Linked DNA regions of Saccharomyces cerevisiae S288C. The protein of the gene in region 2 purifies or fractionates together with the protein of the main gene of each other region. This does not show direct contact. Each region holds a gene or a part of one and is shown on either strand. Other genes may lie near its edges.

What was found.
Region 1: the proteins of KRE33 (region 2) and ENP2 purify together in Saccharomyces cerevisiae (affinity purification with mass spectrometry, with the first as the bait; 4 studies listed by BioGRID). This does not show direct contact.

The regions. Positions count from the first base shown.
Region 1 is NC_001139.9:779,309-784,390, forward strand, and holds ENP2 (ribosome biosynthesis protein ENP2), read left to right. Parts: upstream 1-2,458; coding exon 2,459-4,582; downstream 4,583-5,082. Other genes in the region: THI4 (thiamine thiazole synthase), read left to right, coding at 1,091-2,071; ECL1 (Ecl1p), read right to left, coding at 4,915-5,082. UniProt on the Saccharomyces cerevisiae protein: May be involved in rRNA-processing and ribosome biosynthesis.
Region 2 is NC_001146.8:372,555-378,991, forward strand, and holds KRE33 (ribosome biosynthesis protein KRE33), read left to right. Parts: upstream 1-2,766; coding exon 2,767-5,937; downstream 5,938-6,437. Other genes in the region: YNL134C (uncharacterized protein), read right to left, coding at 1-1,027; FYV6 (Fyv6p), read right to left, coding at 1,617-2,138; TOM22 (Tom22p), read left to right, coding at 6,213-6,437. UniProt on the Saccharomyces cerevisiae protein: RNA cytidine acetyltransferase with specificity toward both 18S rRNA and tRNAs. Catalyzes the formation of N(4)-acetylcytidine (ac4C) at positions 1280 and 1773 in 18S rRNA.

The sequences.
Region 1 (5,082 bases), on a different chromosome or scaffold from region 2:
ATATATCTACCTAATAGTATTATTATTTCTTTTCCATTTTATATGTTTCACTATCCTACTATTTCATCGATCCTCTTATTTAAGCTTTTATTAAACCTAATGACTGTTCTATAACTTTTATGTCCTCTTTTTACATCATAAATGATAATTAATATACTAGTGACATGAATACTAATCGATGGATGGTAGTTTGTTCTTATTCTATCAGGGAAATGCATCAGATAATGGATAAAATGGAAAGAATGGAAAGGAATTGTAACATGCCTATATATGGAAAACGAGCTTTTAGAGCTTTCAAGTTAACCCCGGGCGGTTAGTGTAGTGGTTATCATCCCACCCTTCCAAGGTGGGGACACGGGTTCGATTCTCGTACCGCTCAAGATTACTTTTTTAATTTTCATACTTTTTCTCCTAATATCTTGCAAATCATGACTGAATTGACATTAACTGATGCAAATGGGTGGGAAAAATGCTTATCAACCCCCTAAAAAGTCAACTTCTTCGTTAGTGATTGCTATATGTGGCGTCAAGAATTACAAGAAGCTGGCGAGCTTTCCAAGCCCCTTCAGGATTAACCGTTTTTTACCCTTTTTTTACAAATTTACGGCGGGGAATAATTCTGATACTTTCTCTTTATGAGCATTCCTCAACAGGGATCGGCACTCAATTGCTTTAGTGAATAGTTTTTTTTTACGCCAAGAACATTTACCACCCCATTTTCCTGTAGACGTCCAAAACGATACTCTACTTTAAGCCCTTTTTCTGAAGTTTTCATAAAATGTCCGATCTCCTAACGTCATTTTTAAAATCAAATGGTCTTTTAATAATTATGCACGTTAAAAAACATACATAATTGATAGTAAAGAATCTGGTATTCTATCAGTTACCAAGTTCAATCGTAAATTTTTTTACGAGCACTAATAGAAATGGATCATGAAATTGATTTTTTGATTTTCAATTTATGAACTACCCAGATATATAAATATTGGAATAAATTGTGTATTAAGTAGTCGGGAAATATCTTTTATGTTCTCTTTCTTATCATCTAGAAATAATAAATCACAACCAAAAAAATCAACTAACTATCAAAATGTCTGCTACCTCTACTGCTACTTCCACAAGTGCCTCTCAATTGCACTTAAACTCTACTCCAGTTACTCACTGCTTATCTGACATCGTTAAGAAAGAAGATTGGTCTGACTTTAAATTTGCTCCCATCCGCGAATCCACTGTCTCTCGTGCTATGACTTCTCGTTATTTCAAGGATCTTGACAAGTTTGCCGTTTCTGACGTGATTATTGTCGGTGCGGGCTCTTCAGGTTTATCCGCCGCTTACGTCATCGCCAAGAACAGACCAGACTTGAAGGTTTGTATTATCGAAAGTTCAGTTGCACCAGGTGGTGGTAGTTGGTTGGGTGGTCAATTATTTAGTGCCATGGTTATGAGAAAACCAGCTCATTTGTTCTTACAAGAGTTGGAAATCCCTTACGAAGACGAAGGTGACTATGTTGTCGTTAAGCATGCCGCTTTGTTCATCTCTACTGTCCTTTCAAAGGTCTTGCAATTACCAAATGTTAAACTGTTCAATGCTACCTGTGTTGAAGATTTGGTTACCAGACCACCTACCGAAAAGGGCGAAGTCACCGTTGCTGGTGTTGTCACCAACTGGACGTTAGTTACCCAAGCTCACGGTACTCAATGTTGCATGGACCCTAACGTAATTGAATTGGCAGGTTACAAAAATGACGGAACTCGTGACTTGAGTCAAAAGCATGGTGTCATTTTATCCACTACCGGTCATGATGGTCCATTTGGTGCTTTCTGCGCCAAGAGAATCGTCGACATTGATCAAAACCAAAAATTGGGCGGTATGAAGGGTCTGGACATGAACCATGCCGAACACGATGTCGTTATTCACTCTGGTGCATACGCCGGTGTTGACAACATGTACTTTGCTGGTATGGAAGTTGCTGAACTGGATGGATTAAACCGTATGGGTCCAACTTTTGGAGCTATGGCTTTGAGTGGTGTTCATGCTGCTGAGCAAATTTTGAAACACTTTGCTGCTTAGGCTTTTAATGAGGTATGCTTTTAAAGATTTATATATTTTTTATACACGCTATATACACAATTTTCGCTGATGATTTTGTTTTATTATTGATTTTTAAATTAACCGTAGAAAATACTAAGTGGAAAGATCCGATAGTGATGAGATAAGACTTTTAGTTATCTCTGTAATGGTGAGTTTTCGCACATCTTGCAATATTAAAAATATAAATCAATTCTTCAAATGTCACTTCATGGTCGGGTAACCAAATATGATCTTAAAAAAAATTAAGAAAAAAAAAAATTGAAAATTTTGAGCTAAGCTCATCTCATCTCATCGGCTGTAATCAGTAACACATCATTTATTACATCAGTTACAGGTATCAACATATATCTTCAAAAAGGGGACATTATGGTTTTGAAATCTACTTCCGCAAATGATGTTTCAGTATATCAGGTTTCTGGTACAAACGTTTCAAGATCACTTCCAGACTGGATTGCGAAAAAGCGCAAAAGGCAATTAAAGAATGATTTAGAATATCAAAATAGAGTAGAACTGATTCAAGATTTTGAATTTAGCGAAGCCTCCAATAAGATTAAAGTGAGTAGAGATGGGCAATATTGCATGGCTACCGGTACATACAAACCTCAGATCCATGTCTACGATTTTGCTAATTTGTCACTGAAGTTCGATAGACACACAGATGCTGAAAACGTGGATTTCACTATTCTCTCTGACGATTGGACTAAAAGTGTACATTTACAAAATGATAGAAGTATTCAATTCCAAAACAAAGGTGGTCTACATTACACCACAAGAATTCCTAAATTTGGGAGAAGTTTAGTTTACAATAAGGTAAACTGTGATTTATATGTTGGTGCGAGCGGTAATGAGTTATACAGGTTGAACTTGGAAAAGGGGAGATTTTTAAACCCATTCAAGTTGGATACTGAAGGCGTGAACCATGTTTCTATCAATGAAGTAAATGGGTTGTTAGCGGCAGGCACGGAAACAAATGTAGTGGAATTCTGGGATCCAAGGTCGCGTTCCCGTGTTTCAAAGCTATATTTAGAGAACAATATTGACAACAGACCATTCCAAGTCACCACAACCAGTTTCCGTAATGACGGGTTAACTTTTGCATGTGGTACGTCGAACGGTTATTCATACATTTATGACTTGCGTACTTCTGAACCTTCCATTATTAAAGACCAAGGTTATGGGTTTGACATTAAGAAAATTATTTGGTTGGATAACGTCGGCACGGAAAATAAAATTGTTACATGTGACAAGAGAATTGCAAAAATATGGGATAGACTAGATGGTAAGGCATACGCTTCTATGGAGCCTAGTGTTGATATTAACGACATTGAGCATGTACCAGGTACAGGTATGTTTTTCACCGCTAACGAAAGTATTCCCATGCATACATATTATATTCCAAGTTTAGGACCATCTCCACGCTGGTGCTCATTCTTGGATTCTATCACAGAAGAATTAGAAGAAAAACCAAGTGACACTGTTTACTCTAACTACAGGTTCATTACTAGAGACGACGTTAAAAAATTGAATTTAACGCACTTGGTGGGATCCAGAGTATTAAGAGCATACATGCATGGTTTCTTTATTAACACTGAACTTTACGATAAGGTTTCATTAATTGCTAATCCAGATGCCTACAAAGATGAAAGAGAAAGAGAAATTAGACGTAGAATTGAGAAAGAAAGAGAATCCAGAATCAGAAGTTCAGGGGCTGTTCAAAAACCTAAAATTAAAGTCAATAAAACATTGGTTGATAAACTATCTCAAAAACGTGGTGATAAAGTTGCAGGAAAGGTTCTTACGGATGACCGTTTCAAAGAAATGTTTGAGGATGAAGAATTTCAAGTCGATGAAGATGACTATGATTTCAAACAATTGAATCCAGTAAAATCCATCAAAGAAACCGAAGAAGGTGCTGCTAAACGTATTAGGGCGCTAACTGCTGCCGAAGAGTCCGACGAAGAAAGAATTGCAATGAAGGATGGCAGAGGTCACTATGACTACGAGGATGAAGAGTCTGATGAAGAAGAATCTGATGATGAAACGAACCAAAAGTCAAATAAGGAAGAATTAAGTGAAAAAGATTTGAGAAAGATGGAAAAGCAAAAGGCACTAATTGAACGCAGAAAGAAGGAAAAGGAGCAAAGCGAACGTTTTATGAACGAAATGAAAGCCGGCACTTCCACGAGTACGCAAAGAGACGAAAGTGCTCACGTTACATTTGGCGAACAAGTAGGCGAATTGCTTGAGGTGGAAAATGGAAAGAAATCAAATGAATCCATTTTACGTCGTAACCAACGCGGTGAAGCAGAACTTACTTTTATTCCTCAAAGAAAAAGCAAAAAAGACGGAAATTATAAATCCAGGCGTCATGATAATTCATCGGATGAAGAAGGTATTGACGAAAATGGTAATAAGAAGGACAATGGTAGGTCGAAGCCCAGATTCGAAAATAGAAGAAGAGCTAGCAAAAATGCGTTCCGTGGTATGTAGTTATATTAGAAATTGATATTTTAATTATCCTTTCACCTTAAACTAAAAATATTATATGTATGAAGACGAAGACAGCAAAAAGTATGCGTGATACAGTTTACATTATAGAATTCTTTCCCCAAATATTGAGGGTTTTGTTTTTTTTTTTTAATGCAGATGTACGTACATATTTTCTTTATCAAAAGGATGTGTAGAGAACTATGTATATATGTATATGTGTAGGTTTTTTTTTTTTAGGATGACTAGAAAAGGAAATCGAAAAAGAAAAAATAAGCATGAATCATGAGTAGGTTAAAGGCAAGTCGAAGAAGATACGAAGCAAGTGAAGCCGTTTAACTGGAGGATAGTCTAAACCATAGGTTGTAGTTATTCTCAATGATCTGATCTGAGATCAAATGATCATCAATTAGATCGTTTGATCGTGGCAAGTTGTTTTCGTAACCCAAATGTGCCTTTGAATGCAATTGGTAACTAGAATCGAGTCTAAGAGAGTCGGCTAA
Region 2 (6,437 bases):
GGATGTGGTGGATTTCACCATCATTGATTTTTGGATTGATGAACTTAATAAATTTTATGGCGGCTTCCTTGTATTCAGGGTCTGCTGGCAAAGTAAACGTGCCAAATGGGACGTCGTTACCTCCTATCAAATATAGAAGGGTTCCTTCAATACTGACGTTTTGCCTCCTGTCTTCCTCCTTGATATCTTTTTCGGTTAAAACGGTCAATTGAACGACCGTAGCGTCTAAGTCATCAGCGGCACATTTGTACACCTGTTGAATAGTTTCTGTGTTGGAGACACAGTCCACCAAGTAAGGAATGTTGTTGTACTTCTTTTTTATCTGTTCGATAACGTCAGCATCGTGGTAGTCAAAAAGTTCATCTGCACCGTACTCTTTCAACAATTTTTCATGTTTACGAGAAGCAACGACGATGATCTTGCTGAAACCGTTTAGTTTTTTTGCCAATTGAATAAGCATCTGGCCAACAGCAGTGGCACCACCCCAAAATAAGATGGGTTGATCTCTTTGCGCTTTGGAGGGCTTCCATGTCATGTCCAAGCCAAAACTATGTGTAAGGATCATACCAGCCGTGGTCAATGAGACTGGGAGGGATACTGCCCCTTCTAAAGATTTTACGGGGCCTTCTGGTAGCTTGTCTTTACCGCACAATCTAAACTCTCTGGCTGGTTTATAAGCAGTCTCGGATGAAATGGCAGAGTACTCAGCAAAGGCACCGTTTGAGGGGAACCTCACTGAAGCACCGTGAATAACCCCATAAATGTAATCACCAATGGCAAAGCGTGCAGCATCAACATTTGGGCCCAACTTTACGATTTGGCCGGCTGCATCACAGCCTAAGAGGGCACCTTGAGGACCAATCTTGAAATCAATATGTTTCCAATCGGTAGGGTTACCGGCAACGGCGACAGTCTTAATTAGAACAAATCCTTCTTCTAATTCAGGAATTGGAATGTCCTGTTTGACTACAGCCTTGCCATTTTCAATGACAACGGCTTTCATGGTTTCTGGAATCGAGGCGGACATGCTTGATATGCAGTATGATATTGCTTTTTGCTGTGTATAGTTAACGATTTTTTTTCAACTAGAATTACAGTACTAATCAAGAAGTGAGAGGAAGAAAACGGCAAAAAAAAAACTCTCTCCTTTTAAATCGAAGCATTGCCGAAATACCTTAAAAACGGTCTTAAATCCTTAACATCTGTCCTTACTAATCGATGCCAATCCAACGGAGGGAGCCCATATGCTAGGTACTAAGAGTACGCAGGGGCGGAACCGCGCGACAACCGTAAGCGGATCCGAGGAACTTTAGTCAGCAGGGGCTGTGATGACCATTAAAAAATTGCGGACACAGGTAGTGGAACGAGCAATCAATGTGATCAATTTGCCATTTCATTCCACGAAATGGTTTCCATTCTAAGCATGAATGCTTTGACGTTACGGGTGTTGGTTATTTCGGTTCTTTTTATTGCTTCCGTGGGCACGTACGAGAAGGGAAGATGAATAGAAAAAGAGTTTCCGAGTTTTGTATGTCCAATGTTTACATAATTTATATAACTTGAAGTTTAATCTTGGCATAAAGCTCTAGTTGTGACGAAGTGTGTAGGCCATCACATCAGTTCTCCAGTTTTCTACCCAATTTTTTTATGGATACCTTGATTTTTGGTTTAGGGCTGGATGTCTTTACGCCCTTTATTTGTGTTTTACTGCCCAAACTAGTGCCGGTCTCTAAATATTTTTCTGTATTAGTAGTAGAATCGTTCTCCATTAGTAATGCTTTTTTTTTCTTTTCAAAATTGATTGCCTTGACGTCTAAGTAGTTATTCAGTTCTTTTTCCTTTTTTAGCAACTCATTCTTGCTCTTCTGGTAAAATTCCAGGTCCTCTTTACTCAACCTAGTAAAACTTTCACGGTCTCTCACCAAACCGTTATATTGTTTTTGTTTACTAATAGCATTAGACCTAAGCTGATCTCGCAGGGACTTCCTGGTTTTCCTTTTATATTCCGCTTCATATTTTTTTTGCTCCACTTGCTCTCGTATCCTCTGGGCCTCTACATTACCAACTCCTTCTGACACGAATTTCAGTGGTTTTTTCTCTCTTGCACTATTAGCATTATTATCACTGGTAGATGACATGATGATATAACAGAGCCCACAGTCTTTTGTTGGAACCGCTTTCTCTAGGCTTCGATGGACTTACATCTAATTGCACATTCTCGTGCGTTTAAACGTCATTTTTCCCTCAGATTGGCAGTGCATCAAAAGTAATTCCTAGGGACGACAAAAAGGCGGAAAAGGTTTCAGAAAAATAAGCGGACTTAGCTCAGTTGGGAGAGCGCCAGACTGAAGAAAAACTTCGGTCAAGTCATCTGGAGGTCCTGTGTTCGATCCACAGAGTTCGCAATTTGAAAAATTTTTTTTAATGATTACGCATGTGGATGTGTTCAGTATCAACCGATGCTCGCTTTTCCAATCAAATGATACAAGCCAGACCGAACATTGCATGTTTTCCATTGTAACTTCCCAGGTATATCTGAATTAGTTGTAAAAAGTAATAGTTTACCCGGAATCGTGTGAAAAATTTTGAAAAAAAAAAATGAAGAGCCAAGATACAATGAGATGAGATGAGGTGCTGAAGATGCATGGAGATTCTGTATTTATCTCAAATAAAGTACGCAATAGAGTATATAAGCCAAGTCACCTTTTATATTTCTTAGTTTTTAACTTGCAAAGACTTATAAGAGACTTATAAAACAAGGAGAAAATGGCCAAAAAAGCTATCGATTCAAGAATCCCGTCACTGATCAGGAATGGTGTTCAAACCAAACAAAGGTCCATATTTGTCATCGTTGGGGACAGGGCACGTAACCAGCTCCCAAATTTACATTATTTGATGATGAGTGCTGACCTTAAGATGAACAAGTCCGTCTTATGGGCTTATAAGAAGAAGCTTCTAGGATTCACTTCGCACAGAAAAAAAAGAGAGAATAAAATTAAGAAAGAAATTAAAAGAGGTACAAGGGAAGTGAATGAAATGGACCCTTTTGAATCTTTTATCTCTAACCAAAATATCAGATATGTATACTACAAAGAGAGTGAGAAAATATTGGGTAATACCTATGGTATGTGTATTCTTCAGGACTTCGAGGCATTAACCCCAAATCTTTTAGCAAGAACCATTGAAACTGTAGAAGGTGGTGGTATTGTGGTTATTTTATTGAAATCAATGTCATCGTTAAAGCAACTGTACACCATGACTATGGATGTTCACGCCCGTTATCGTACTGAGGCTCATGGTGACGTTGTTGCAAGATTTAACGAAAGATTCATACTTTCTTTAGGTTCAAATCCAAACTGTTTAGTCGTTGATGATGAATTAAATGTTCTACCGCTATCTGGTGCCAAAAACGTGAAACCACTACCTCCTAAGGAAGATGACGAATTGCCTCCAAAGCAATTAGAGTTGCAAGAATTAAAAGAATCCTTAGAAGATGTCCAACCAGCTGGTTCATTGGTTTCTCTATCCAAAACTGTCAATCAAGCCCACGCTATTCTTTCTTTCATTGATGCCATTTCGGAAAAAACTTTGAATTTCACAGTTGCACTAACAGCTGGAAGAGGTAGAGGTAAGTCTGCTGCTTTAGGTATTTCTATTGCCGCGGCCGTTTCTCACGGGTATTCTAATATTTTTGTTACTTCTCCATCTCCCGAAAATTTAAAGACTCTATTTGAGTTTATTTTCAAAGGATTCGATGCCTTAGGTTACCAAGAACACATTGATTATGATATCATTCAATCTACGAACCCCGACTTCAACAAAGCCATTGTGAGAGTTGATATTAAAAGAGATCACAGACAAACGATTCAATATATTGTTCCTCAAGACCATCAAGTTCTGGGCCAAGCTGAATTAGTTGTCATTGATGAAGCTGCAGCTATTCCTTTGCCAATCGTCAAGAACTTGCTGGGCCCATATCTAGTCTTCATGGCATCCACTATCAATGGTTACGAAGGTACGGGTAGATCTTTATCTCTGAAGTTAATTCAGCAATTGCGTAATCAAAACAACACATCCGGTCGGGAAAGTACTCAAACCGCCGTTGTTTCGAGAGATAATAAGGAAAAAGACTCTCACTTACATTCTCAATCCCGTCAATTACGTGAAATTTCCTTGGACGAACCAATCAGATATGCTCCTGGTGACCCAATTGAAAAATGGTTAAACAAGCTCTTATGTTTAGATGTTACTTTAATTAAAAACCCAAGATTTGCAACAAGAGGAACTCCTCACCCATCCCAATGTAATCTATTTGTTGTCAATAGAGATACTCTATTTTCTTATCATCCTGTCTCAGAAAATTTCCTGGAAAAAATGATGGCACTGTACGTTTCATCCCATTACAAGAATTCTCCAAACGACTTACAACTGATGAGTGACGCCCCAGCGCACAAACTATTTGTTCTTTTACCACCAATTGATCCAAAGGATGGCGGCAGGATCCCTGACCCTCTATGTGTCATTCAAATTGCATTGGAAGGTGAAATCAGTAAGGAGAGTGTCAGAAATTCATTATCGAGAGGCCAAAGAGCTGGTGGTGATTTAATCCCATGGCTGATCTCTCAACAATTCCAAGACGAGGAATTCGCTAGTTTGAGTGGTGCTCGTATCGTCAGAATTGCCACTAATCCTGAATACGCATCCATGGGCTATGGTTCTCGTGCAATTGAATTACTGAGAGACTATTTCGAGGGTAAATTCACTGACATGTCTGAAGATGTTCGTCCTAAGGATTATTCTATAAAGAGGGTGAGCGATAAGGAACTGGCCAAAACTAATTTATTAAAGGATGACGTTAAATTAAGAGACGCAAAAACGTTGCCACCTCTACTATTAAAACTTTCTGAACAGCCTCCTCATTATCTACATTATTTGGGTGTTTCATATGGTTTAACGCAATCGTTGCATAAATTCTGGAAGAATAACAGCTTTGTTCCTGTTTATTTACGTCAAACCGCAAACGATTTAACTGGTGAACATACTTGTGTTATGTTGAACGTTTTGGAAGGCAGAGAATCAAACTGGCTCGTTGAATTTGCCAAAGATTTCCGTAAAAGATTTCTGTCGCTTCTTTCTTATGATTTTCATAAGTTTACTGCCGTTCAAGCCTTAAGTGTCATTGAAAGTAGTAAGAAAGCACAAGATTTGTCTGATGACGAAAAGCATGATAATAAAGAATTGACGCGGACGCATCTGGATGACATTTTTTCTCCATTTGACTTGAAAAGATTGGATAGCTACTCAAATAATTTGCTAGATTATCACGTTATCGGTGATATGATACCCATGCTTGCTCTTTTGTACTTCGGCGATAAAATGGGAGATTCAGTAAAACTATCAAGCGTCCAGAGTGCTATCCTGTTGGCTATAGGGTTACAGCGTAAAAACATCGACACTATTGCCAAGGAATTGAATTTACCTTCCAATCAAACTATTGCTATGTTTGCGAAGATCATGAGAAAAATGTCTCAGTACTTCCGTCAGCTGTTAAGCCAATCAATTGAAGAAACTCTACCAAATATCAAAGATGATGCTATTGCTGAAATGGATGGTGAAGAAATCAAAAATTACAACGCTGCAGAAGCACTGGACCAAATGGAAGAAGATTTAGAAGAAGCCGGTTCTGAAGCCGTTCAGGCGATGAGGGAAAAACAAAAAGAGCTAATCAACTCCTTGAACTTAGATAAATACGCCATAAATGATAACAGTGAGGAATGGGCTGAATCTCAAAAATCTTTAGAAATAGCTGCCAAGGCCAAAGGCGTCGTCAGTTTAAAAACTGGTAAAAAGAGAACGACTGAAAAGGCTGAAGATATCTATAGACAAGAGATGAAAGCTATGAAAAAACCAAGAAAGTCTAAAAAGGCTGCAAATTAAGCGTTCTACTCTTTGTCAAACCCTTTTATAGCTAAACGTTTACTTAATTTGTACAATAATATAGAATAGAAACATAGTTGATGTTTGAACCTTTACATATTCCTTTCAATCGTGTCGAGCGATATAAGTATTACGATTATGCCGGCGAAAACTGAACCCGTTTTAGACAATTTCAATCAACATACTCCACTCCGTAGTGAGTAACTTTTGGAGTAATACGAAGTAACCAAAGAGGTCAAAACGGAACTATATACCCCAAAATAAGCATCATTCAAATGGTCGAATTAACTGAAATTAAAGACGATGTCGTTCAATTAGACGAACCACAATTTTCCAGAAATCAGGCCATCGTGGAAGAAAAGGCTTCTGCAACAAACAACGACGTTGTCGATGATGAAGATGACTCTGATAGTGATTTTGAAGATGAATTTGATGAAAATGAAACATTGTTGGACAGAATCGTTGCTTTAAAAGACATTGTCCCCCCAGGTAAGAGACAA